2 linked regions of the Drosophila melanogaster genome follow. The protein of the gene in region 1 purifies or fractionates together with the protein of each later gene. This does not show direct contact. Each region holds a gene or a part of one and is shown on either strand. Other genes may lie near its edges.

Region 1 (12,909 bases):
CGTGACCGCTCCGAAAGCTGCTACCCCCCCACCGGCTGCCAACTCCAGCAGTGACTTTAAGCGGGAGATTACGAATGCGGATGGGAGCAAGGACATTTGGTACCCAAACGGCAATCTAAAAAAGATAAGCGCCGATGGCATGAACTTGCGCATGCTCTATTTCAACAAGGATATCAAGGAAACTAACATCAGGGAAGGCACAGTGAAGTATTACTACGCTGAGACCAACACTTGGCACACCTCCTACCTAGATGGCTTGGAAATACTCGAGTTTCCCAACGGGCAGACGGAACATCGCCGCAAGGATGGCACTGTTGAGATTCACTTTCCCAACAACAGCATTAAGATTGTGGATCCCAGCGATACGGAGAAACTGGAGGAGTGGCGTTATGCGGATGGAACCCATCTAGTGCAGCTCCGGAATGGTGACAAGATTCTCAATCTGCCCAATGGCCAAAAGGAGATTCACACCAAACTAAACAAGCGAAGGGAGTATCCGGACGGCACTGTGAAGCTAGTGTATCCGGATGGCAGCCAAGAGACGCGCTACTCCAACGGCCGCGTTCGTTTGAAGGACAAGGATGGCAAGCTCATAATGGACACAGACTATGCCAAGTATTAGAGTCGGGTCTCTGCTTCCGTTGTTAAGTAAATTAACTTAAGTTTTAGATAAATAGAAAAGACGTGCTATTTTTAAAAGATCATCGTAATATTCTTTTCTTGCTGATAAATGGGAAATTGGCTCTATTTTAGATTATTATATATATTGTTTGGTTTTCAATTTGTTAGATCAAATGTAGTAAATTATTCATAGAATGGTATTCTACTCCGCGTTTACTCCTTCTTGGGCCATGGAGAGGTGATGGCCGAAGACCTTGGGATGCTGATTGAGCAGCTTGGAGGCGAATTGCACCATTTGCTCGAATGTGAACTCCGCCTTGGCACGTGGTCCCCAAAGGAAGAAAGTCTTGGAATCATCGTAAGCACTTAGCTGTGAGCGTTCCCGCTTCAGATATTGTTGCTTCACAAACGTCTCCTCGATCTGTTTGCGCAGATTGGGGCCGAAGTAGCCATGTTCTTCGTCTGGATAGATGTTGAGCATCTCCAGCATAACGTACAGTTTCGAGTCCTCGATGCGGTTGCCGCGCAGGAAGATGTACATGAGAATAATATACAGCAGCGTGAACTGCGGCCGTTGAGCCGGCGTCAGCTCGTGAATGGAGGCCACCGGCTCCTCCGCAGTGCAGATGAACGTCTTGGTGGTCGCGTCCAGTGGGGTTAGTATTATACCGAATGTTTCGGCCAGCAGATTAGTGACCAGCGGCAGGCGTTTCTTCAGTTCGCTCTTGTCCCCAGCCACCGCTATCAAATCCTTGTCCTTTATGGGAATCTTCTGGGCGGTATGATCAAGGATGTAGTTTAGAATGGCGCGAACCTTGGCGTCGACCACATCGACGGGTTGTTGCGCTTCCTGCGAGGGGATGGCATTCTGGCTCCTAGCTGCGCGAGAAGTGCTAGCCATTTCGAGTTAATTTGATTAACAAGCTCCCAATTTATCAAATTTATTTGATTATTTAAAATGCAACTCAACAAGAATGCAGCGAACATATGTTTTTTTTCGCACTTTTGAAAGTGTACAAGCCTGGCGTTGCCAGATCAGAGTTAAAAAACGAGACCTGTTTTCAGTATTAAAATACCAAATGGGCGCGCAAATTATATTAATTCAAAATCATTACTCTGACAATAAAATCTTCGAACCCTTATTATGGTCTTTACCAATCCTTTTCTCTCGCATCCTTTTTCACTTGGTTGCCTATTATATGCACTTTCAAGTGCAAATGGCCACTCATTGGTCTCGTTTGAACGCACAAACTGGGCCAAGAGCCGCTGAAGTACCTACTCTTGTGGGTTTGTATTGATTGATTTCCTTTTGCTGCCGCCTTTTTCCTCTGTTACATTTAACAATCAGTATGAAATTTGCGCTGCAGCGAAACGTTTGCTAAATAAATATCATTCGAGCATTTATCGAGCAGCTAAGCAGTGGGTAACGCACTTTGCATAAAAATTGCCATAGCAGCCTCAGGAGGTGATGTGTTTTTAATTAAAATGGCCAAAACGACGCGACGTGCAGCAGCAGGAAGCAAACAACTTTCAAAACTAAACGCGAATGACATGCACGGTCAACATTCCCCACGGAGACTCAAAATAAACAGAGACCGAGTCAAACAAAACGAAATGGAAATGGAAATGCATTTCGCGCAGCAGACACACGCGCCGAAGTGCACTTCCAGACGCTGCAGAATTACATGGCCAAACATATTTTATTGCCTTGAAATGTGTGTTTTAGGTGGCGATGGCGGTGGCTGTATCTCTGCGGTGAAAACTAGTTACCTGCGTCTGCGCAAAGTGCGCGATCCATAAGTGATAAATGTACAGGCGGAAGGCAGACAAAAGTTGCCTGGCCAGGCGGCAAGCTTTAATTGATTCGCCATTGTTCCGGCTTGAACAAAAGCAGAATATCGGAGTTCAGATTGTTAAAGACAGCCTTTGTGGCCGCCTGAAATGGATATCCGCCGCGTTCTGCAATTGATTCTGCTTGACCAGTGACTGTAATAGCACCGAAATTTGCATCCCAGCAAGTGAAATTACTCAAGATTGTAAATCTCGCAAAACGGCGGCTGAGTGAGTCAACAAAACGCACTGTCAACGCGAAGCGTTAGACTTTCTACACACAAGCAAACAGTTTTGCTTTCAAAATGCGCATTGTAACGTTGGAGTTTGTCAACTCCAGCCCTAAAGTTTTTTTATGGCCGGCTAATTGTAGCCAGACGGTGTTGGAGAAATGTCTCATTTACTAAAAAGAAAGTCAAGGTCTTTGCTGAGCGACGTGAGCGGCAAACTTGCTATGCAGCCTGGCTTTTAAAGGCCATTAAAAATTAGCAAATGACATGAGCATGCCATTTAGAATTTTCATGATAAACAAAATCCCATGACCAGCCAATAGAGTAACGACAACGGGTTTCGCAGCTCACCGCGGTGGCAAAAACTATTAATAAATTAATAACAGAATCACAAGAGGCAGCAGACAAAAAATGTGTGCACAAAAAAGAAAGCCAATATTGGAATGAGGAATGTGTGGAGTTTAATGCTCTATATGATCGGGATTAATTGTTTTTAAGTGGCTTGCTCTTTGAGATTTATCATTTCGAATATCTTAAGGAGCTAAAAGTTTTTTATTGCGAAAATAATATGAATGAAAATAAAAAGTGAAAAATGAATAAATAATATTACATTTAAAATTCAGAAAAATGGAAGGCACCATTAAATGGAAATTACGCTAATATAAATACATCTTTTGATATTCTTAAAGTTGTATTTTAAAAAAATGTGTTGCAAACATTCAAATTAGTCTTTCGTTTTGATAAGAAAAACGCTGATAAATGGCATAGTTTCGCAAACATAAATCTCTTATCTTGTAGTTTTTTAAAGATTCCTTCTTTTCATGTTCCCAGCTTCTCTGGCTAAAAATATTTTAATTTATTCTTCAGCAAATCGAATGTTTTATTTCCCTATACAAGTATATAAGTTTGTTCTTACAACCTCTTTCAGTGAGCAGATAACCCCGTTTCGGTCGCAATGGAATGGAATCGAGAATATAGAAACAATAGCCGGCTGTTGTTGCCTCAGTCTGGTTGCGTGCCGTTCTTAAAAGTGGACTGCCTTCAGCGGAGCGGTTCGGCATTCTTGTCCAGCAGCTGCCGCTCGTGGTCGATCTGGCTGATCAGCTTTGGCCCGGGACCGGCACTTCGATTAGATTATGATTTGCTCCTCTCTCAGAACGACTCAGCTATCCGCTAAATGTCAATGGGGCTCACAATTACAAAAGCGCGCTAAGCTGAACGTAGCTGTGAGCGAGTAGAGTTTAGTTCTCAAATAAAAGACTTGGACAACAAACTTGTTCGGCTTAATTAAGAGGTCAAATTGCTAAACTCAGGCCATGGATCAAAACGAAGCTGCTATTTGACCTTTTACACTTAATAAATTTCGATGCAAACTAGACGCCGGCCACTGATAATCAAATTAAACGCTTATCAGATAGTTTGCCAAATGGCTGCAACAATCGTCGCAATTAAAGTCGAACAAATGATCAGTGAATTGACTTCACTTGGGGGCCAAGTTCACTCGTGCATGCCTAATCGCGTATACGCACCGTGTGACGACATCGACTTGCGGGTTGTCTAGTACACGGTTTTCAGTCGAATAAAAAATGGCTGAAGTCAAAGCGGATCTAAGTTTTACGCATATTCGTAGTGGGAAAATATGGGATTTTATTGCTCTATGGCGGTGGATGTCGTGCAAGTTAAACAATTCTAAGATTCCACTTGTGTGAAATAGAAATTCGTTTATTGAAATTACTAAAATTTAATATAATTTAAATAAGATATTCACTGCTAAATATTTTTCAAGGCCGTTGTATTTTTTTTATTGTTTATTGTATTTTGTGTCTTTGCATTTTCTGTGGTCTTCAACTTGATCTTTTCGCTGCGTTTGAGTTTCGCCTTCGTGTGTTTTTATTGCTCTCGAGATTCACAATCTCTCGTTTGGCCGGCCATTCTAAAGTGCTTATTAATTTTATAGCCCGTGATTCGATGACTTTGAAGTGGGCCAGCATATACATAAGCTACAACTGAAACCCACATCCCCATAACGTTTATATAAACATTTAATAATTATTAATTACATTGAAGTGGCCATGCCGTTTTGTAAACAATTAAGCTATAAGTTCAGCGTCTGGGGCCGTACAAGTTGGTCAAAACTAATGGTGTTTCGGCTGACGCTTGAAAAATGCCCATCTAATGAGTCACTTTAGGTACCCAAAGTGATTGGGGTAATTCTCTACGCCGGCCAAATGCTAAATAGTTTACTTAGTATCCGGTGCCGTCTTGAAACTAATAAAATGTCAAGTCTTAGGTTTTTCTCGAACACACGTTTTCGGTGACGTTTTCGCCTTGCGAAGGTCGATCGGCAGCTTTTTGCAAGTGTATCACATGAACCGAAATGTGAATCACATTTTCGAATTTAGTATGCAGTCGACGACTTTGTCGCAAAGGCCTTGAGCTCCGCACAATTTGCATGAGAGAGTGCCAGAAACAATAATGTCCAATAAATTGTTGCATAAATCGCAGCCAGCTTCCTGTGCGAAAAACTTTCACAAGCCATTCGCCGAAAGGCAGAAATTTGTAATAATTATTATCGAGCTTGGTGTCATGTTATACATGCATCAATTTAATGGCTTTTGCAACGCCGAAAAACTACGATTTTCCAACTCAAACGATCGTGAGAAGATCTGCACTCTGAAGTCATGGTCATGGTCAAATGGACCATGATTGACAAGCCAAGCGACTTGGTTTATGTTTATTTATTTTTTGGTGCTTTTAAGCATTTCAAGTTCTCTATTAAAAATAAAGTTGAAAGTGCAGTGAGAAAGTAAAAATTTATTTCTATATAATTAATTTCATATAGTTACATTTTATATATTTAAAAGTATCCTTTGTGCATCCCAACTTTATAACTATACAAATAGACAAGTCAAACCTAAATCAAAACTTCCATGGAATGCTATAAGTTCACGAAAAAATAATGTTGATTTTTATTATGAAATAAATATGCGACTCTTAAGCTACTTATTTTATCCCTAATTTCAATTTATGTTTTCTAAACGAAACACGAACGTGTCCATAAAATCTCTGAAGGCCAAAGAAATAAATTCCCTGAGCAAAACCTTTTGAGTCACGAGTCGAATATTCAAAGAAATTCTGTTTAAACAATTTAAATCCCGAGCAAGAAGATTATGCAGCATACGTATACATATATGATGTCATGTCTTCGAAATGAAGTTTCGGTTATTTTTGAGCTTGAGCCTGGCTTGGTTTTCAGCTTGTTTATCAGCATCTGGGTATCGTTTCGGCCTCTTTGAACGCATTTCATTAGCGGCCATATATGTATATATATATATGTATCGTATATATGAACTTATATGCACATAATATGGGTATAGTTGTCTGAGCGGTGTCTGCATTCACAACCGGTGTGGCTGTCTTCGCACCGGCTCGCCTTTTGTTTGTTTTGTTTGTATGAAACATATTAAACATATAGTCGCATATGTATCTCTCCAGCGGTCTCTCAGCCCGTCTGCAATGCATTTAAATGCAGTTTGTGTATATATATTTATTATACGCTGCATGTGCATGCTTTACTTTTACTTTCATATGCAACTGGTTGCTGGCAGCCAAAATGGGGAAGTGCTGTCAGTCCGAGTGTGGGCCTCGTTTCTCTCAGTGTGCGCGTTGTTTTTCTTGCTGTTCCCGGCTGCAATGAAAACAGTTTGTAAAGTGATTGTCAATCATTTTTGGTGGCATGTCGCTTAACCGCTTTGACAATAAACGGCAACAGCAATAGCAACACAATGGCAGCTGCTACACTTTTTGCTGGTTTTAAGCCACGTTCGTTGGCCACATTAATTGTACTTGCATTGACTAAATTAGGCTGCTGTAGTGTTTTCTACACCCAAAATTTACTTTGTAGATTTCGGCTTAATTGTTGTAATCCCTTATTTAATAAGAGCACTTGTGAATGGATGAGAAAATGCGAACTATCGGTACAATAAATCCCATCACGGCAATTAACGACAGACCAATGCATTGGTCCACTGTGCAATGATACCAATCCGCACAGCTTTCAAATAAATAAATGTGGGTATATTACTTATCACTCTGCCTGCCTTAATTCATTTGACTTTAATCATCCAATAATAAACACTAAAATGTAGATCAAACAAAGAAACCCGAAAATTGAGCCAAATATATTGACGTAATATCAAGCAAGTTTCGGTGCAGAGCAAATTGGTTAAATGCCTTTTGTGAACAAATAAGGAAAAATGAGCCAATTTAATGCGCACTGACTTGACTTCATTTTACTCGGTGTCGCTGCCTTTTGAAACAGTCCCAAATTCGAGATTAACTGGAAAGAGATTTCGTCTGGTTTCATGGCCTTAGTTTGGCCAACTCTCTTCGACTTTTATCATGAGATTTTTTCTTTTTTTGATGTGTAACACCACGAATGAAGACATTACCAACGAACAGCAGGTGGAAAAAACGAACTGTGAAAACTTGGCCCCTCGCAATGGCATCCGAAAAATTCATTTTTCGCGTTTTTATATAATGTGGATATGGCTTTTCGCTAATTTCGAATTTAATTTCGAGTTTCTATGTAGATTGTACTCATAATTAAGCCAATTACTATTGAACAACTTTCGCTGCTCTTCGTCTGCGCTATCGCATTGCATGCGATTGGGTAAATCAAATCACACAAGTATCAGGTTTACCAGGTCCCATTCCAACGATGCAAGGAAGTGGGTGCTTAGGTCTGTGGCCATTTGGTAGCTAGATAATTGGCTATCAGTGGAAGACCCATTGGTAGTATGCAACTTTGGAATTTTTTACAACACTTCTAGTCTTCTTTTCTTTTGCTTAATTTATATTTCTTAATTTTTAATTCTTAATTCCTAATGCTTTAGTATTCATATGTTGTGCATTTTATGCAAAAGACACTACTTGTAGTTTCCGTTTTCTTGCAGCGTTCTTTTCCTTTGCATACATTGAGAAATGCTCCATTCAAAAACTGTGAGCATAAACTGAAGTTGCATTGTTATTATTATTATCTTTTTATGTTCGCCTGTATTTTATTAGCATTAGCATTAGCGGCTTCTCAATGACGGTGCGATAAGCCCCAGACAAAATATATGTATGTATAAACAAAGGGAGACAATGCAACTTTGGCCGTGTTTGTGCAACACCAAAAAAAGCGCATTTCTGCATTATTCTCTGATGTTTGCACGTTAATGTATGCAACCACAAGAGCAGCCCCAATAACATAGAAACTGTGTGCACATTTGATACTTTTTGACGTCTGCGAGCAGAGAGTTGAGAGTTGAGTTGGATATGATTTGATTTGATTAGATTTGAGTTCTTCAGACACACATTTCCTTTTTAATGACGGTTGGCCAACTTGCTGCCATTGATGTGTGATGACGGTTTCTGGGCGCGTCTCGCATCCCAAGTGGAGAATTGATATTTGCATCGATGGCATTTGATGGCGGTGGATCAGTCAGTGATCGGTGGATTTATGAATTTGGGAGCAGCTCCGCAGATAAGGCCTTCGGAATGGCGGTTATTTGGGTTTGCTAATAGATATTGGAATTTCATGAATCTTTCTAGTTTTATTTAATATTTCGGGTATCGCAGTAAAAATAACTTTTATGTAGTTATATATACATATATCGTACTTTCCTCTATAGAAACCGATTTGACCTCGACTAGTTTTTGGGTTTTAATAGCGTCGGCGTACTTATCTTATCTCTAGTTTTACTTATCCCAAAGTAATTGGTTAAATATTATTAGAACACCAAACATTTAGGGATTATAGTAATTATTTCACATAATATAATATAATATAGTACTAATGCTATCCTTATACTAATCATTTTTATCACTCACGAGTGTTCAATGTACCCTACAATAGGGGTGATAAGGTATCACCTTATCACTTATCATTTCACTCTTTCGAAGTAGCATAGAATTTCTTTATTTAATCATATTTACGAAAGCTGTAAATGGGATTAATCTCTTAGTGCCGCTGTGACCCCAAGCATCCCTGACTCATGAACACTCTGGATCTACGAGTATGGAGATGCAGGGCCGCTAATACGAATCTACGCTTGTGCTCTTTCAAAAAGTCAGACAAAGAAGTCGAGGAAGAAAGAAACCGAAGGTAGGCGTAATCGGAACGATGAATGCCAACTCGGCTTGGCCTGGGTTTTTCAATGGGATTGAGTTTTTCGCCATCCAATTGGACAGTCCAAATAGATCGCGCTGAGTTCACTTGTCAAGGAATCGACTATTGCAGTTGCCTTGCCAAATTGAAAAAAAAAAACTCCGTCTTTGAGTCTTGTGTATGCATCATGGTCGTCTTGTTTCGAATCCAACGACTTCTAGAGAGGGCCTTTCGCTCACTACACCCACACTGGCAGACAGCAACAGCCTAGACACACCTGAGTGTGGGTGAGAGCGAGCATTCAACCACGGGGTAATGGTAATGGGTATTATGTATTACGTGCACGGTCTCACCTGTTGCGCTCAGCTGACGCGCGAGAAGGAGCCAGCCAGATGAGAGCCAACTAAGAGTTGGCCGGAGAGCAACAGCAAACCAGTTACATGTTGGCAGCCTGCAGATGCAGACCGTGGTGAGTTGGCAACGCTACCAGCCAAGATCCGTGCCGCCGGAGAGATCAGTTGGTGGTCGTGCTTGAGACGGAGCGGTTGGCCGAGTGCGATCGCATTACTTTGCGAACGATTTATATATACATATAAACCGCGCTGCCCACAAACGTGGCCAGATAAGAGGAGATATATACCAATACCTATACCTATTTCTCGCCGGGTTGGTGCTAATCTTCGTTTTAAGCGTGCCTGCGTGTGTGTGCGGTTGTGATTTATGCAAATCTTTGCTTTCTTATTAAACAAACACAAGATCTGGTAGTGAAATAAACGGCCCAGCAGAAGAAAAGAGAACCACGACCGAAAACATTCCATTGGAAATACCGAAAACACGTTTTCTCCCTCCAGCTCCGAATCGCTTGTTCGCTGTTTGCTTTCTGCCATTTGCCATTTCTACAAAAAAGGAGTGAGAGTGAAATGTGAAATGCGAAATGTCAGTGCAAATAGCTATCAACTTTTACAATGACATCACTAGATGTTAGCCAAAAGAAATATTAACAATTGCCAGCAGATATGGAATAAATAGAACCGCACGCTGTCTAATTGCCTTCGTACCAATATGGCCAAAAAGGCGTGCAGCAAATTCTGCGGTCTGCAGCCGTTTTCAGTTGCAGTTTCTGCTGCTGCCGTTGGAACCGGTTGAAATATTTTGCTATCGCAATTTGGGTCTAGGGTTTTTTGTTGCTGGCGTTGCATTGTAGCGAGTTGCATGAGCATCGACTGCCTTGCATATAAACAGTATATCTTTTTTTAGAGCCCAATTGGCAGCCTTTGTTTTTGGCAAGCTGGTTTATTTGCCTAGTTTCTGATTTGAATGGTGAGAAGTAAACATTGTGCTGGCGGCGTAGTCTTAAAAAAATGAAAGATATTTATGAGCTGCTCTAGGCTTAGGTACAGAAGTTGTAAATCTAAATGAAATATGCTAAATAGGGTTTACGTATCGTAAATCTACATAGGTTTTCAAAAATTCGGACACATTCAAAACTATGCGAAACTTTATAAAACAAAAGACTTGGGAAACGAACTTGCGTGAGTGGCATCGAAGATGTTTACGCTTTCACACTTAAATTGGTCATTACATAAATGTGTGACATAGGAAATGCTTTAGATATGCGGCGTATTTGGAAAAATTAGCTAATACTTTTATTTCGTAGCTTAATTAACTCACATATTATTTTTGATTGATTGAGTCAAGAGTAAGCCACCCCTATTTTCAAGCTAACAACTTTCCAATTTCCGCGTAGGGCGACCTAACAAATCACTCAACAAATCGGCTGGCAAAATATAGACTTGAGTTGACACTTGAGAGATCGTTATTCAACCGACTTTCAACGGAAATGACAGCATTTGGGGTTACCAAAGCGAGTCAATGACAAATAACAGAAACCGCTGCCACAGATGTCGTGTGAACTAAAATAACCGCATAAGAAAATCCCGCACCCCAAAAGAGAAAACTAAATAATAACTAGTGAACAAAAGTAGGTAATGAGTTATCGAGACCCTTCGAAACGTTTAAAAGTGCATGTAATTTATTTAATTCCATATTTATAGCAGATTACTATAAATTAACAATAACAAGTGCAAACGTGTGAGAAAAATCAAAGAGGAAAAGCCAAAAAGACGGAGCACAAACATAAACCAAAATGCAAACGTGTAGAAGAAGAAAAGCCTCCGGCGGCCAATCCACGATCAAGTGGAGTAGAATGTGCCTGGCCACTCTCTGCGGATTACTTTTGCTTGGCATTCAAATTGAGCGTGCGGCGTCTGCGCCCGCAGGCGAAGACGCAGCGGCCACAACGATGCCACCTTTGGATACCACAACAGATGCCCCAGACGCCGTTGCAGCCACCACCACTCCAGCCACAACTGCCGCAGAACAAAGCAGCAGCATCAGCAGCATAACCACCGAGGCGGCGGATGGTTCAACGACTTCCACGACGACAACAACTGAGGCGGCCAACAAATCCAATGCGACCGAAACTGGTGAGTCCAAGCCGAAAGCCATGAAAATTATAGATAGACGGCATCTACGCGACGACGCTCGCATAGCTGGGGCATCTCATCCCGATCTCCGGCCAGACACTTTAATCCCGCCTAGCCGCGCTGTGCTCTCTGCGCCGTAATCAAATCTCGTTCTCTGAGCCACCAATTAACGCCGTGCCGGTGCGTGACTTCTGGTCCGCCCTTTTTTTTACCCATTTCGTTTCGATTTGTACGGCATTTCTCCATAATTATTTTCCGATTCGGTTAAATGGAGCGAACAAGAGAAATTGTTTGACTATTAATGGATGGAAGAATATTTGAAGATATACATAAGCGGTTTCCTGTTGAATTACTTAGTTAATTACGCGGCATATTAAAGGGAAAATATTAAAATTTCCGGCCCTCAAGCTCAATCTCGGAAACCAATTATACGAGAAATTATTATTCGTGCTAGAACAAGTGAATGAACTTAATTAAATCTTAATATATTCTACTCGTACTACACCCAAGATACTCAAGATAAATTGAATTATACTTCTATTTCGATACAATTGATACTTAATATAAAATAAAAAATAATAAATCAGATTAGATTTTTTTTTTTTTTTTTGTAATTCTGTTGAATGAACACATTCACATTTAGGTTATTAGGATAACTGGAGAAATTCGTTTAACCAGATCACCTGAGATGGAATGATTAACTTTCACACACGTACCTTTTGCAAAATAGATTAATCGGGCAATTCCATTGCCGAGTTCTTGGCTGTAACAGATTTATAATTATCTAGAAGGTTGTTTGGGCTTAATGTCAGTTGCACACCAAACTCTTCACGAGGCAAGCACTCCGTCGTAAAAACTTCAATTGGTTTTTCATTGTTTTGATACTATTCCATCTAGATTCATTGATGACTCGATAAAACGAGGTCTAGCAGGCCACACACAGGTCTAGATCGATTGAGCATAGGTTGTTGCCATGGCAAGTGGGAATGCATTGTTTAAAAGGGACTGGCCTTTTTTAGCCGGTCTAAATGCCACGGGAAGTTAATGAGATTTAACAGCAAACATTGGGATGGTGGTAAGGTAAGCCTTCACAAATTACTCAATTTAAATGCAAAGCAGCCAACTGTCATGACTCATGCCCTTAACCTACGTAGTCCGTACCATAATCTTGGAGTTAACTTTGTTAAATTTTGGGTGTTAACTTTGTACAGAAACACGGAATGTCTTTTCGCGGGGGCTAATTATATAAGTATGTGCCCAGGAAATTAGCTAAGAGAGATAAATAGCAATTAGTCATTGACAGATGTGATAAATGAAACACCTACAAACTTGGAGAAGAAACCGCACCTGATTACATTTTAAAATGGGTATTTCAAGTGATGCAAACTCTTATTTTGCCAGGCGTTGAGTGGGTAGCTAGTGGATTGAGGATTTGGATTTTATAATTAAAACAAGCACATATGTATTAGCAAATCAATTATTGGGCAAGACTTTAGACAGTTGATAAACTGGTTTCGTGTTATAATTACAGTTACCGAAGCAATAAATATAGAAATAAAGCTAGACTAGATTTTAACGAAATCATGAAAGT
Region 2 (12,884 bases), on another chromosome or scaffold:
TGGCCGTGAACTTCTGCTGTGTCTCGATGAAGCTGTCCGTGAAGAGCTTGGTGCGCACACTGAGCGTCTCGTGGAGCTGGTTCTCCTTCTTGAAGGAATTAAGTGTCTTGCGGTAGAACTCCCGCACATTATTTTGCGATCGAATGTCTGTTTGCGTGTTGGCCAGCTCCACTTGCGTCTGGGTTCCGGCTCCGGCCGCCTCAGCCAGCAGGGCCAGCACCAGTTTGACGGAGAACGGCGAGATGATCACATTCTTGTCGGCTGTCTCGTTCTGCAGCACCGTCTTCAGTAGATGCCATGAGAACGGATCGTGCGAGTCGCTCCGGAAGGGCACAAAGGTATCTATATCGTCGTAGATACCCGCTCCACTGGGCACGCTGGCAGCGCCACCGGGCAGCTTGTCCGTACGGGTTTCGAATACGCCCTGGGGCGTCGTGGTCGTCGGTATGGAGTTGCCGTTGCCCGTGGCTAACGCACTCAAAAACAGCGACAGCAGCATCACTGCCAAATTTCCGCCCATCTTTGTCATCTGTGCTTCCCTAAGCTTCTGCGTCTCGATCTTCCTCGGGTCTTTGCTTTCAGCCTCTTATTCGCAGCAAAACAACTGTTAAATGCGGGCTTTGGTGGGGCGAGCGGCGAGAGAGCGCCGGTGGAGCGAGCGATAACCGTTTCACGCGCCGTTCCAACTGAGAGTGACTGGTGCGCCGAGCGGGCTGGCCATTTTAAAATCGAGCTCCAGCTTCAAGCCGCTCTTGACGCCGTCCTCTGCTGCTGTGCTGCCGCGTCGACGGGGCAGCGCATGTGTGTTTTTTTTGTTGGGACTCCCAAAGCATACGTACGTCATTATCGCAAAGTGATGAGTGTGGTTAAGTGATGAGGGAAGTGAAGGGAAACGACTAGACTATACAGTGCATCAGTGCACTCAGAGAATTTCCATGCCTGTATTGACAGGATTAACCAAAAAACCTATACAAATATTTAAGGATCATTCATCATTATGAATGTTATTTTGTTATTTTGTACAAATTAGTTGCGAACAATATCCGCCTTTATTAGGCTTTCCCCACTTCAGCTATTTGTGAATTATTGCATAGTCATCAAAGAGGAAAGTTTGCAAATGTTATTATTCTTAAACTACGTCACAGTTTCTTTCACGCCCGCTGCAAATACTCAAGCCAGTTTATGAATAGCTATTAATAGAAATTTGAATTTCAAATAAGCTTAAGTTGTGTCGGGGATAGTCTGGCCACGCTGACAACTATTATAGAACTCAGTGTTGGTAAGTGTCGGCTAAACAAAACAGCTGATCTGAAATAAATTCTCATGGTGCGTTGATGTAACAGCAGCCGGCGAAAGAAACTTGTGCATTTAATGAGAAATAAATATAAATAGCCAAAGTAACCGCACGTGCCATGCAAATTCGTCGTCCGCGTGGTGTCACTGTTCCGCAATTGATGGTGGTCACGGCCATTGGGCTGCTAGGCGGTATTTACATTTGGCAACCGCTGATTTTGAAGTACAAAAACGAGAAGAAAACCGAGGCAGAAACGCCAGCAGTAACTGAAACTAGTGGAACCACAAAGTTAGCCCGCACACTAAACCCTAATCTGCTGGCTAAAGTCATATATTAATTGAATTCCGTTCTCGCCCACAGATGAGTTTCATTAACGGCTTCAAAAGATTCGCCACAACGACGGTTGGTCTGATGGCCATCGGTATTGGATCGACTGTTATATTCTACACCACCCATCGCCTTGTCATCAAACCCTATCTTCTCGAGAAACGACGCCTGGAAGCCGAGGCCAGTGCGGAGTACCTCTTCCAGCAGGAGGTTCACTCCCAGATTGGCGAGTCAAGACCCAAACGGAGCGAATATTGAGCCAAGGCTGCCAGTGCCGTCATAGACATCTTTACATACTTATAGCCTAGTGATTAGTTACCAAATTTCAACGCTGTAACATGGTGAACAATGAATGGACTTTTACTTTCTTACCTTCACTTTGGGTGGAGAGGCCCATCTTCTTGTGTTCATTTTAGAGTTAAACAGAATGGATTTTTTATGAAAGTAATATGAATTGAATAAATAATGAAAAGCACAAATGGTTTGAATAAAAGACTAGAAACATAAACAATTAAAAATCACTGTGCTCTGTTCACCGTATGCCTTTGTACAGGCTCAGGGAGCTGCACTTGTCCTTGGCCTTTTGCTCTTGCTTTCTCAATATCGCCTCGCGCTTATAGGTGGGAAAGAAGTTCCACAGCGAAAAGGTGTCGTCCAGTCCGCCGGTGGCAATTTTCGTTCCATCCGGATTCCACATCAGGAAGAGGGTGCCGCGATCCTGATGGGACATCAAGTCAACCACGCGGTTTAAGGAGGCCAAGACCAGAATTTCGCACACTGCAAGGTCCGCATCATCTGTAGATATTAGAATACATTATTTTTAGCAAGCATTAAGGATCCAGTGCAGTTCTCACCACGCCGAATAACGTTGACCAGCAACTCGCCCGTGATTTTGCTGTATGTTAGTGTCTTTATAACGATTCTGTCATCCCTGCGCCTGTACGAAGCCACAAATTGTCGGCGCGGGATGTTGAATATGAAGATCGACGCAGGGCTTCGCTCCGCTGTTAAGATAATATTCATGTTGCAGATACTCTAATAATTAATCTGCCACTATCTTACCAACGGCTAAATCCTCTCCAGTCCACGGATGCCAGTCAAAGACTATGGACCTGCCGTCCAACTTGAGCAGGCGAACCTTTAGCACCGCATCGAAGATGAAAATCTTGCCATCCGTATCACTGGATGCGAAATACTTATGGGTGGGAGCAAACTTCATTTTCTTCACCGTGTGTCGATGCTCGCGCAACTGCATCAGGGTGTTTAGCGTGGGCATGGCCAGCACGATGATGACGCCGCACTGAGTGCCGCAGATGACCTCTTTGCCGTCGTGGGACCACTCAATGCAACTTATGTAGCCCATGGACTTGAAGAACAGCTTGCGGTAGGAGACCAAGAACTCCGTAGGCGACCTCACCTCCCAGAGGTCCAGAACTTGTACGAAAGAGGAGGGTTAGGGCTTTACAAAGTTATTGCTTAGGGTCTGTTATACCTGGATAGTTTCTATCCATGCAGCCGATTGCCAGGTGCTTGCCATCCGGCGAGTACTTGAGGGAAGTGGGCGACTCGACGCTGAAGACCATGGTGCTCTCGTCCAGATTGCGCCACAGCATGACATCCTGTCCGGAGGACATGGCCACCATGCCGCCGGACGACCAGTCCATCATGTTGTAGTCGACGGGACTGCATATGCCAGGCATCTCATGGGTGGCATTCTGAATGGCATATGGTCGCGCCCGTGGATTACATGGCCAGTCCGAATCGGCGGAGTCGTTATCGACCACCCTGGATCTTGTGCCCTGCTGGCTGCTAAACTGAAACAGGCGGCGCTCTCCGATGCCAAAGGTTCGGTTGATGTTCGATATGAAGCCGCTCTGTCGCCAGTAGCTGGCGGTCAAAGTGACACCCTGATTGTAAAAGTCATTTTCAATTAATAATGGAAAGTATATATAGCCAGAAGTACTGCACACACCGTTTCGAGGATATCTCGCTCCTTCCGCTTGCCAATGTACTTCAGGTTGAACTCGATGTTCTCCCGCTCAAATCGGTTGGGTATGAATCTTTCGCCGACATAGGACACCTCCTGCCCCTTGCTCGTATCACTCTGCGCGAAAAGAAAACTACGTTTAGGTGGTCAAATTGTTTTGAGGCCCATCATCTTACCTTGTAGGCCGCCTCCTGTTTCCAGTTTTTCCGCCGCACCTTTTTGAAGGGCGTCAGAGACTTTTTGTCCAGCTTGGAATTTTTATTGGGACTGTCACACACACTCATCTCGACGAACATTGAAACATTTCTGTTTTGCTAGCGCCATATTAAATTGGCAACGGATCAAAAAAAACTTACAGTTACAAGTACAGTGAACACTCGATAGGAGTGCATTTGGTCTTCTTTAATGTTTGCCATTTAAAGTGTGGAGTTTATACTTCTCGATGCTTTACATGAAGATGTTTTAAAATTCAAGTTAAGATGTTGCTTTAAATTATTTATTTTCTACCTTGAAATCATTTAGTTAATAAAGCGGACTACTGTTATTCTAGTATCAAAATCTATAGTACATGTCGCGGACATAATGATTAACCAATGGAGCGTCTTATTGGAGTTGTCCATAGGTTGCCGCAGGAGGGGCAAATATCGCGTCTCTGCAAGTAGGTTTGGATGCACCCGCGGTGGTACTGGATGTTGCAGGACCCGCAGCGAATGTCCCACAACACCAGGCACTTGCACAGCGTGCAGTTTTTTATGTTATCGGCGTGGTTCGAGCTCAAATAGAAACTGAGCTCGACGAGGCTACGTGGACCTAGGTAGATTCTGTCGGTCACCTCCATGAAGTAGCCCATTTGGATCCACTTCTGGAGCAGCTCCTGCATGCGGCTCTTCTTCAACGGCTTCGAGCTGGCCTGTAGGACGATATCATTGTAGGCGTCATTCCAGGCGATGTGGCAGTCCTCCTCGGAGGCGATCTTGTCCAGCAGTTTCGAAAAGTACTGACACTCCTCGGCAGTGAGCCCGGTGTTGGCCACGCTGTCCGGCGTAGCGTCCGTCTTGGCGTAAACCAGGTACTCCTCGGCCTTGACCGGATACTTGATGAAGACCAGCAACTGGCCCAAGTCGCTGATGGTGTCATTAATCTCCGCCACCAGTGCCCTAATCGCCTCCTTGCTGCCGGGCTTTGTAGTCTTGTGGTTGGCACATAGCGGGGCCAGGATATCATCGATCAGCTCGAAGCTGAGGTAGCTGTGGTTCTTGCACGCACGCAGGAACCCGCGTTTCACCAACTCCATTGCCAATGACTGAATATGTTTCAAAACAAATCCAAATATACACAATTCGATTCCGAAGCGCGCCGTTGCAGTGTGCCCAGCTATGCTGACGGGCGGTCAACTTCGGTCACACTATTTTTAAAAATCAATCGATGTTTTTTCAGATCTCCGATTTTAAAATCACTCGCACTATTTTTTGGCTTAATGAAGTTTAAATTTATCATACTTTCGGTGCCCCTAAAAAGAAATGCCCATCTATAATTCCTTTCTTTCTGCTTTGTTTCCATTAAAAAATTTAGCAATTATTAATTTTTTATTTATTTATTTTGGTTTTGACTTAAAAATTAACAGCACAACAATTAATATTTTCAGAGAGCTTCGCTTTGTTTTAAATACAGCGTATATATAGTAAGAAATAGGAGGGTCCTAGGTAATATCGGAAAATGTTATAGATCAGCAAGTGAATCAGCTTTGAAACTTAAAAACTAAACCGAATACAATTAGTCCGTTTTCGAAACGATATATTTACACTAACTGGCTTAGAACGAAAAAGCTATAAGTTTATGTTGTGTAAAATACATCAAAAATGAAATAGTATATGTTTGCCTGCGCCTGTGCCTTATAACTTTTTCCCGTAAAATCCTAAGAGCCGGATTCTCGTCGACACCGGACTTTGGACATGCTCCAGAATCTCCATCTGAATATAATATGGTTTGTGGTTTTCGGGCGATTACAATATACATGTTAGCACATTTTTCGATGTCGAATAGATAAGAAGAAGGAAATATGTCCATAAGTATGCGATTAAACTTTTGCTAGGCCATTCAATTTGGCTTGTGTATATATATATATATTTATGTATTTAGGAAAAACTAGGTAAATTGCAGAGGCAAGTTCTAAAAATAATAGAATCAAAGAGGCTATATATGCATGTAATTTATCGTGTTATAAGGTATGGTACTAGTGTACGTTAGCTCGATGATAGAAATCATTTTTATAGCTTCTGTGCCCTTACTGATCTTAAATAGTTGCACAACAACTTTCAGATTTGTGTTTATTACTAGAGTTCCGAATCACATTTCCATAAACAAGGATAAACTGAAAAGTAATATTCTAATTTGTACAGTTTTCACATTTTCGATTTCAGTTGAGACCAATTCAATAAATAACAAAAGAAAACTAAGAACTTATTGAACTTATATGTAAGCATTTCGATGATCGCCTCCAACCTAAAAGCAAACAAAATCATTAACAAAAAATTGAAAACACTGGGACTTTGAAAATTAATATGAAGTAATGGTGAATTTTCGACTTGAGATGCGCTTTTATGTACAATAGGCGTTAGGAAAATGAGGAAATCAACTGCAATTTAATTTGTACTTACATGGTTAGTCGCGTGTTAGAATCTAAGAAATAAGATTATGAGGAAAAATACAGAAATTAAAAGTGAACAATATAAACAAACATTCCTGACTGCTGTGCTCTAAGAAGCTTTGGTTAATCAGATTTCAATTTCACTGGCTCGTGGCTAAGTTAATCATGTCTGGGTCTCCGTCTGTGCTTCGTTACAATGGGTTTACCAAGGAAAAGTAGACAGAATCGAACAAAATATTATAAATAACAAAAATAAATCAAATACAAAAATAGATAGGGTCCACTCTTTGGATTACATGAAATTGTTAGCAACCAGGCTGAGTTCGTTTGCAAGGTGATTGGCTTCGTTCAAGTGAACAGACTTTAGGAATTACCAATGACCGTTGGTTGACATGGATTATTGTTTTTTTTTTTTTTTTAGGATGAATGCAGTTTGTAATTAGTTGTTGGAGTTGTTGGTATTGTTGTTAGAGCAACCAAAGTTAAATTGATAGAGTCCGCATGAGTTTGTTAGATGATTGATTGATTGTTTGATCGATTGGTCGAAGGAAAGACAGAAAGAAAGAAAGATGCCGCATAAATCAATAAATAAATTAGATCATCGCCGAGAGAGTTGTTACATTTTGGTTACATAAGTATATTTGGTAAGCATGCATTTAGTAGTAGTTAACAGTCAAAACAATATTACATAGGTGTTATAGTATACTGGAAATCGTTTGCCGTCGCACAAACTTAAACAATTAGTCAACCATACTGAAGGGTGTAACTTATCCATCACTTCCGCTTATACCACAAAATTTAACATTAAAATTATACAAAAGCAAAAGATCGCTAAACAAAAAAACATTTTCACGGCCAATTCATACAATAATACGTCTACTTTGCCAAAGTCTCTGTGGTGTAGATTCATTTGGATTTTAGTTTAGTTTAGTTTTTTTTTGAGGTTTTTCGTTTCTTTGTTAGTGGCCAGCTTGCTACGCTTAGATTAGTCTTTGGTGTCTGGGGTGCTTCGCTCATTCGGTTATTCAATATTTCGGTAGCTAGCAAGTAGATGGTGATTATCGGCGGTGTACTTAATACTTACGCGACTCAGGGAGTTCCGACGCCCCACGCCTGGTGCCGCTCCGGACCCATCCTGACTGAGACCGTTCCCGGTATCATTGTCTATGCAAATGTCCGAGTCCGAGTCCACGCGTCTGAACTCGCTTCCATCCTGAAATGAGTCCGAGTCGATCAGGATTCTGTCGTCCTCTTGCTGAACTGCACAACTCACCTGCGTTAGTTGCTGTGTGGTGGTGAGCAGTCTGGCAATGGGATTGCAGCAAACGGGCAGCGTCTCCAGCAAAGTGGGTCGCGAGTGCGTCAGTAAGGGCTTCATGTACCTTTGAGTAGAAAGCAGCAGCCTTGAGAGAAATCCAAATACCGATTGCTTTTTGGCACTCACTTGGTATCAAAGTTTCCCCAGATCCTAGCAAGAATGGCCTTCTCGTGGCTGTTGCGCCGGCGACCGCCGCTTGCTCCGCCCAAACTGCCATTCGTACCATCGACGGGCGTGTCCAAGTTCGTATCTGTTCCACCGGACAAGCGCATCTTGTTGCGATTAACGCCACCGCCCTCCACATCCTGCAAATAACCATCAGACTAACACAGAGTTCTATTAAATTATATTAGCTCTACTTTTCACAGGCTTCCAATCAAATTAAAAATGGAAAGTAAGAAAATTATTTAAAACCACGGAAATGCATTGAATGATCATTGGCAAAACCTACCGTCTGTGGATGTGAATTGTCCATTGAATTGTAAACCTTTTTTAGCAAATGGTTTTATGTATTAAGGTGCGCAGAAATGTATAAATAAACAAAATCGTGAGTTAAAAATTATTCTTTGAAAAGAATGGAAAAGAGAAATTTGATATTGAGCAATGTGTTTGCAGACACCATGCTTTTGGGAAAATACCTTTTCTTATCCCTTAATTAACAACCTATACTAATCTTTCGGCAAAATTCGGTCTAAGCACGTATATATACGTGATATTTTGTACTTACACTGTGCACTTGATAGTTATTGAGTTGTTCAGTCTCATCGTCCACGCCAACGCTGCAAGCGAGACAGAGTTTGTGACAATGAAGCAAAACCATTTAAATGTACGTCACATGCACTCACGGTATTTTCAACCAATTAAGCAGGAAATTTGCAGCCCCACCCTGAATTACAACCGTAAAGATGACAATCAGCGATGTGGCAGTCAGCATCGTCTGTCGTTCGTCCGACACTGTATTTCGGATGGCCAAGGCAAAGGACATGGCGCCACGAAGTCCTGTAATATAATATATATGCGTTAAAGAAAATACATGGCACATTATATATAAAAACTTGCCAGCAAAGAACAACATATGCTGAAAGTTTGTGGAAATTTTCGGCTTTCGCTTTATGTTCAGCAGCCAGGACAAGGGATACACATTCACCGCCCTTCCAATGGCAGCGCAAATCTGTGAAAAAAAGAAAAATAACTTTCTGTTTGGGAACGCCTTTTTAAGTATTTCTATGCTGAAAATAACTTACAAAAGCTGTTATAATGAAACCGGCGTCAAAATGATGCTTGGGAAAGGTGAACATCGATACGCCAATGTAGGAAAAGATAAAATTCTCGGCTAGAAAGTTCAGGAGCTCGAATATCTGTTTTGTCCTTTGGCGCGAGTCCTCCGACAAGTTGTTGTACGTGTAGTGAGCCTGGCAGATGCCGCAGAAGAGCACGGCCACCACACCAGTAAGTTCCGTAGCCTCAGCCAGCAGGAAGGTGCTGTAGCTCATGAGCACGAAGAGCGCGGATTCTAGCAAAGGAAAGTCTCGAACCCGAGTAAATTTGGTCATGTGCGGTGGGAGTTAAGGAAGTCATTAGCATAGGTGTTTTCTAATTAATGCGGAATAGATATACATCTTCAATGCCACTTTGAGGTAACAAAAATTAACTCAAATTTTACCATTCACATGTATACTGCCCTTAAATAAAATAATTTATCATTAATCTTTGAAAAGGATATCAATGCTGTCAAGCATCCCATGGCCGCGCCAATCATCAGGGATAGTAAGAAGATGGAGAAGAAATCGCTCAACGAGCGTAGAAAAGCTGTAGTTTCGAATTCCCCGGTATTGGAATAGTGTTCACCATAATTTTGAATGGCTCTATAAAGAAATGATGTCTTACTGATTCCCAACGAAAAAAAAAGTAGCAAACTTACCCACTAAGGACTATGGCCACGGCATCGTTGAGCACAGATTCGCCCAAGACTAGCGCATATAGGTTTACGTCGACCCTAAGATCGTTGAATATGGCTAGAATGGTGAGCGGATCTGTGGGCGATATCAGAGCTCCAAAGTATAAGGAGTCCAGGAATGTGAAACTGCTACTCAAGTACTTTGGCATCAGTTTCACACAGCCGTACATGAAGCCTCCGATTAGGAAGGCCGACAAAGTCGTGCCCACAATGGCAAACGTAAGTATGGCACCCAAGTTGCGAAAGAAGTATTTCTGCAAAAGCCAAATATATCTCGGTAAATTTTTTTCAATACAATTGGCGGCTCAATGAACTTACCTTTTTCAAGCTATAGCCCGCATAAAAGATAATTGGGGGCAGGATAATATTGAAAAATACCTCCGGATCGAACGTTGCCTTAAGATCGATTTCGTTCTCATCCACATCGTGTACCTGTCCTCGAAACACGTAGGCATACGTCTTGATTCCCTCTGGCGGCTTTGTGCCATTTGTTTGATTAACGGGGTACTAAAATTAAAACCAAATTGTAATATATTTACATATATTCGTTCTGGCCATTAATGATTTACCCTAAACCAAAGAGTATCAGGCGGCAATTTATCGCTGTACGTTGGAACTCCCTGAGGCTCCACCTGCATGTGGACCAGGGTGGCGGAGGTGCCGGCATATCGTATAATTGCACCCACAATCAAGCCTGAAATGGGGTAAACACATTAGTTTTGGCTATTGCTGCAGTTGGGATCGAAAATAAGTTGAATTGTAATGTAATTTTACCGGGTCTTAAATGAAATAAAGCTAGTATGACTGTTTTCTGGACTGACCTATCGCAAAGCAAGGGTGTGACTAATAGCCGCTTAGAAAAATGCTTAGTCAAGCCATATCAAGCCTTATCAACTAAGCAACCACTCAACAGGTTCATAATTCGCAGACGGAATCAGTGTTTTATGTTCACGCCGATAAACAAATTTGTGGGGATGATTAATCGTGGTGCGCATAACAAAATGCTTTCACTGGCCCTGCCGGACGAATGCTAAATAATCTTTTCCAGTTTACACCAGAGCTGGGCTTTGTCGACGCCCAGGCCAACCAGTTTTATTGAATTGTTTCATTAGCTTCAATTAGTCGAACGAAATCTTGTTTGCTCTTTTATTGCTGCACATAAACGAAATTGTTAGAATAACAAAGTACTCGGCAGATTGCCGCGATCATGAACGAGCAGTGAAAATACATTCGGTCGGAAAACCCCAATGATATTGACTGACTAAGCAAGTCAAGGTCTCGTATACAATATCTTTGCCGCAATGCATTAGCTCTGCTGTCGTTGCGTGCAGGTTCTTTCACGGATATTGATGTTACTTCTACCCCGGGGTGGCTTTTACTGCCTCCCATATGTGCGCACGTAATGTCACGGTTGGCGTGGACAAAGGCGTAATTCGAAATTGGTGACAACAAAGAGGTAGCAATGAATGTGGCAGGTGACCGATAATCAAGTCTTTCGAGCTAAGGGAAACATGGCCAAAAGGGAAAGCTGCCCGCGTTACCAACGTACCGTAGATGACGGCCAATCCCGTCTCGTGGAGCCAGGAGACGCGATGGTGTTTGAAAAGCCAAATTGTGAGCACTGTGAGCGCCAGCAGGAACACGAAGACTAGAAGGTCCAGGCTCTGGATGCGGTGATTGAGCGTGGCCTTGGCGTCCAGAGCGATGTCAGTGTCCGTGGCGCTGCATCCAGGCGCGAGGACGCACAATGCAAATCCGACTATGAGCAGCATGCTGCTCCGCCAGCACTGTAGCTTCCAGAATGTCTGCGACCTTGGGTGACTTCCTGCGTCCCCATGAATACGGTGGGGCGATGTCATCTCTACCTCGGGGTCCACATCGCCGTGGGACATACTTTCTTCAGTTTCTTCCTGCGCCTGCAGCCGAAATCGATTTTCGCGTTATGTTTCACGGGTTGGGGGGGTGGTGGTGGAGGTGATGGTGCTAGAAGCGCGGAGCAGGACGACCACGCTCAGGCGGCGCCAGGGGAGTGTGTGGACCTCCTTTCGCTTGGATATTGAATGTGCCGCACAGCCGTTACATAAAATTAAAGGGTCCAAAAAGAGCTTTCAAAATTTCACAGCAGCGCACTCCGCTAAAAAAACAGTTTGTTCGTTCATATGGAAACAACCGTATGCGACTGCAGTGTGACCGCACGCTAGCACGCGAAAAAATATTGCCTTTGAACAGGAGCGGTTCAGTAAAGATATTTGTATTCAATATAATAGTTATGTAAAACTAAAACTTGCAATAATCCCAAACTATTTTCCAAGTAAAAACTATTATTCCGGGAATTGCGTCAAATTAGCCTTTTCATTTATTAATTTTCTTTCCCGTCGTCTAGTACTAGTCCCGCCGACCAGTCTCTCCGTGTCCCACCGACATAGTTAGATCTGTAAGTTCGTATCATTGCTATTTTTCACGATTCCTCTATACATTCAAAAAAAAAAAAATAAATAAAAAATTCCCCATGTTTAGAATTCCGCCGTTCCTCCATCGGTAATTATTCCGGGAAAACAGTAAACGGGCAGGTGCAGTTTCCGGTTATCGATAACCGTTACCCTGCCCTAGCCAACAAGAGTATGACCTGACAAAGGCGCCACCTAGCGCTCGTTTCAAAAAGAATGTTAAGTAATTGGCGCTTTAATTCAAATATACATACAAATTATACAAATTACAAACAGTGCGGCCGTGATATTGTGGATATTTATTTGGAAAATAGATATTTAAAGCAACCCAACTATGCCAATGCGTCGGGCGATTTTGAAGTGTTTCCTAAGATATACCGTAGTGAAACGTATGCTCTCGCAAGTTCGCATTATCCAATTTGCATTTCTAGAATAGTGAACTTCTACTCCTTGCGAATTATATAGACCAAACTGAAAGCCAAGCTGCAGAACAATATGGGATAGCTAAGCTTAAGGATTCTGTGGTTGACTAGACGCCTCAAGAAACTCAAGGGCTTGCCAGTTTGTTTTAGGTCCGGATCCGTTTCCTCCTCCATATCGATTTCCGCCTCCGGGCCCGTCAGCGTCTCCCTTTCTTCCGCTTGCTCACTTTCTATCAAGTCTGGAGCTGTTTCAACTTCGCTATTCTCTTCTATTCTGGCCTGCAAAAGTTGGCGCATTAGGTGCACATTGTACTCCGGATCAAATAGTTCATCCAAAGTAACCATCTCGCGACCGTTTTGCACCGACCCATCTAGTGAGGGATGGTCGGCCAGTTCCGGGACCGAGTCAATGCACACAATCTCATCCGCCGTTGGATGAAACATGGGCTCCAATGTTTCAGGGTATTTCTCGAATTGTTCACGAA

The links.
Region 2: the proteins of MAGE (region 1) and Nse1 purify together in Drosophila melanogaster (affinity purification with western blotting, with the first as the bait; one study listed by BioGRID). This does not show direct contact.

The regions. Positions count from the first base shown.
Region 1 is NT_033777.3:7,153,543-7,166,451, forward strand, and holds MAGE (MAGE), read right to left. Parts: upstream 1,639-12,909; 5' UTR 1,523-1,638; coding exon 824-1,522; 3' UTR 696-823; downstream 1-695. Other genes in the region: Sas-4 (spindle assembly abnormal 4), read left to right, coding at 1-622; sas (stranded at second), read left to right, coding at 10,979-11,318.
Region 2 is NT_033779.5:6,672,647-6,685,530, forward strand, and holds Nse1 (Non-SMC element 1), read right to left. Parts: upstream 4,980-12,884; 5' UTR 4,903-4,979; coding exon 4,195-4,902; 3' UTR 4,003-4,194; downstream 1-4,002. Other genes in the region: cup, read left to right, coding at 1,655-1,668; Spn27A (serpin 27A), read right to left, coding at 1-529; CG34310 (uncharacterized protein), read left to right, coding at 1,413-1,582, 1,660-1,879; cort (cortex), read right to left, coding at 2,154-2,416, 2,476-2,625, 2,684-3,055, 3,114-3,528, 3,594-3,725, 3,785-3,904; Nhe3 (Na[+]/H[+] hydrogen exchanger 3), read right to left, coding at 6,548-6,616, 7,340-7,468, 7,529-7,637, 7,700-7,896, 8,025-8,060, 8,301-8,352, 8,419-8,572, 8,633-8,744 and 6 more; CG11327 (uncharacterized protein), read right to left, coding at 12,421-12,884. UniProt on the Drosophila melanogaster protein: Component of the SMC5-SMC6 complex, a complex involved in repair of DNA double-strand breaks by homologous recombination. The complex may promote sister chromatid homologous recombination by recruiting the SMC1-SMC3 cohesin complex to double-strand breaks.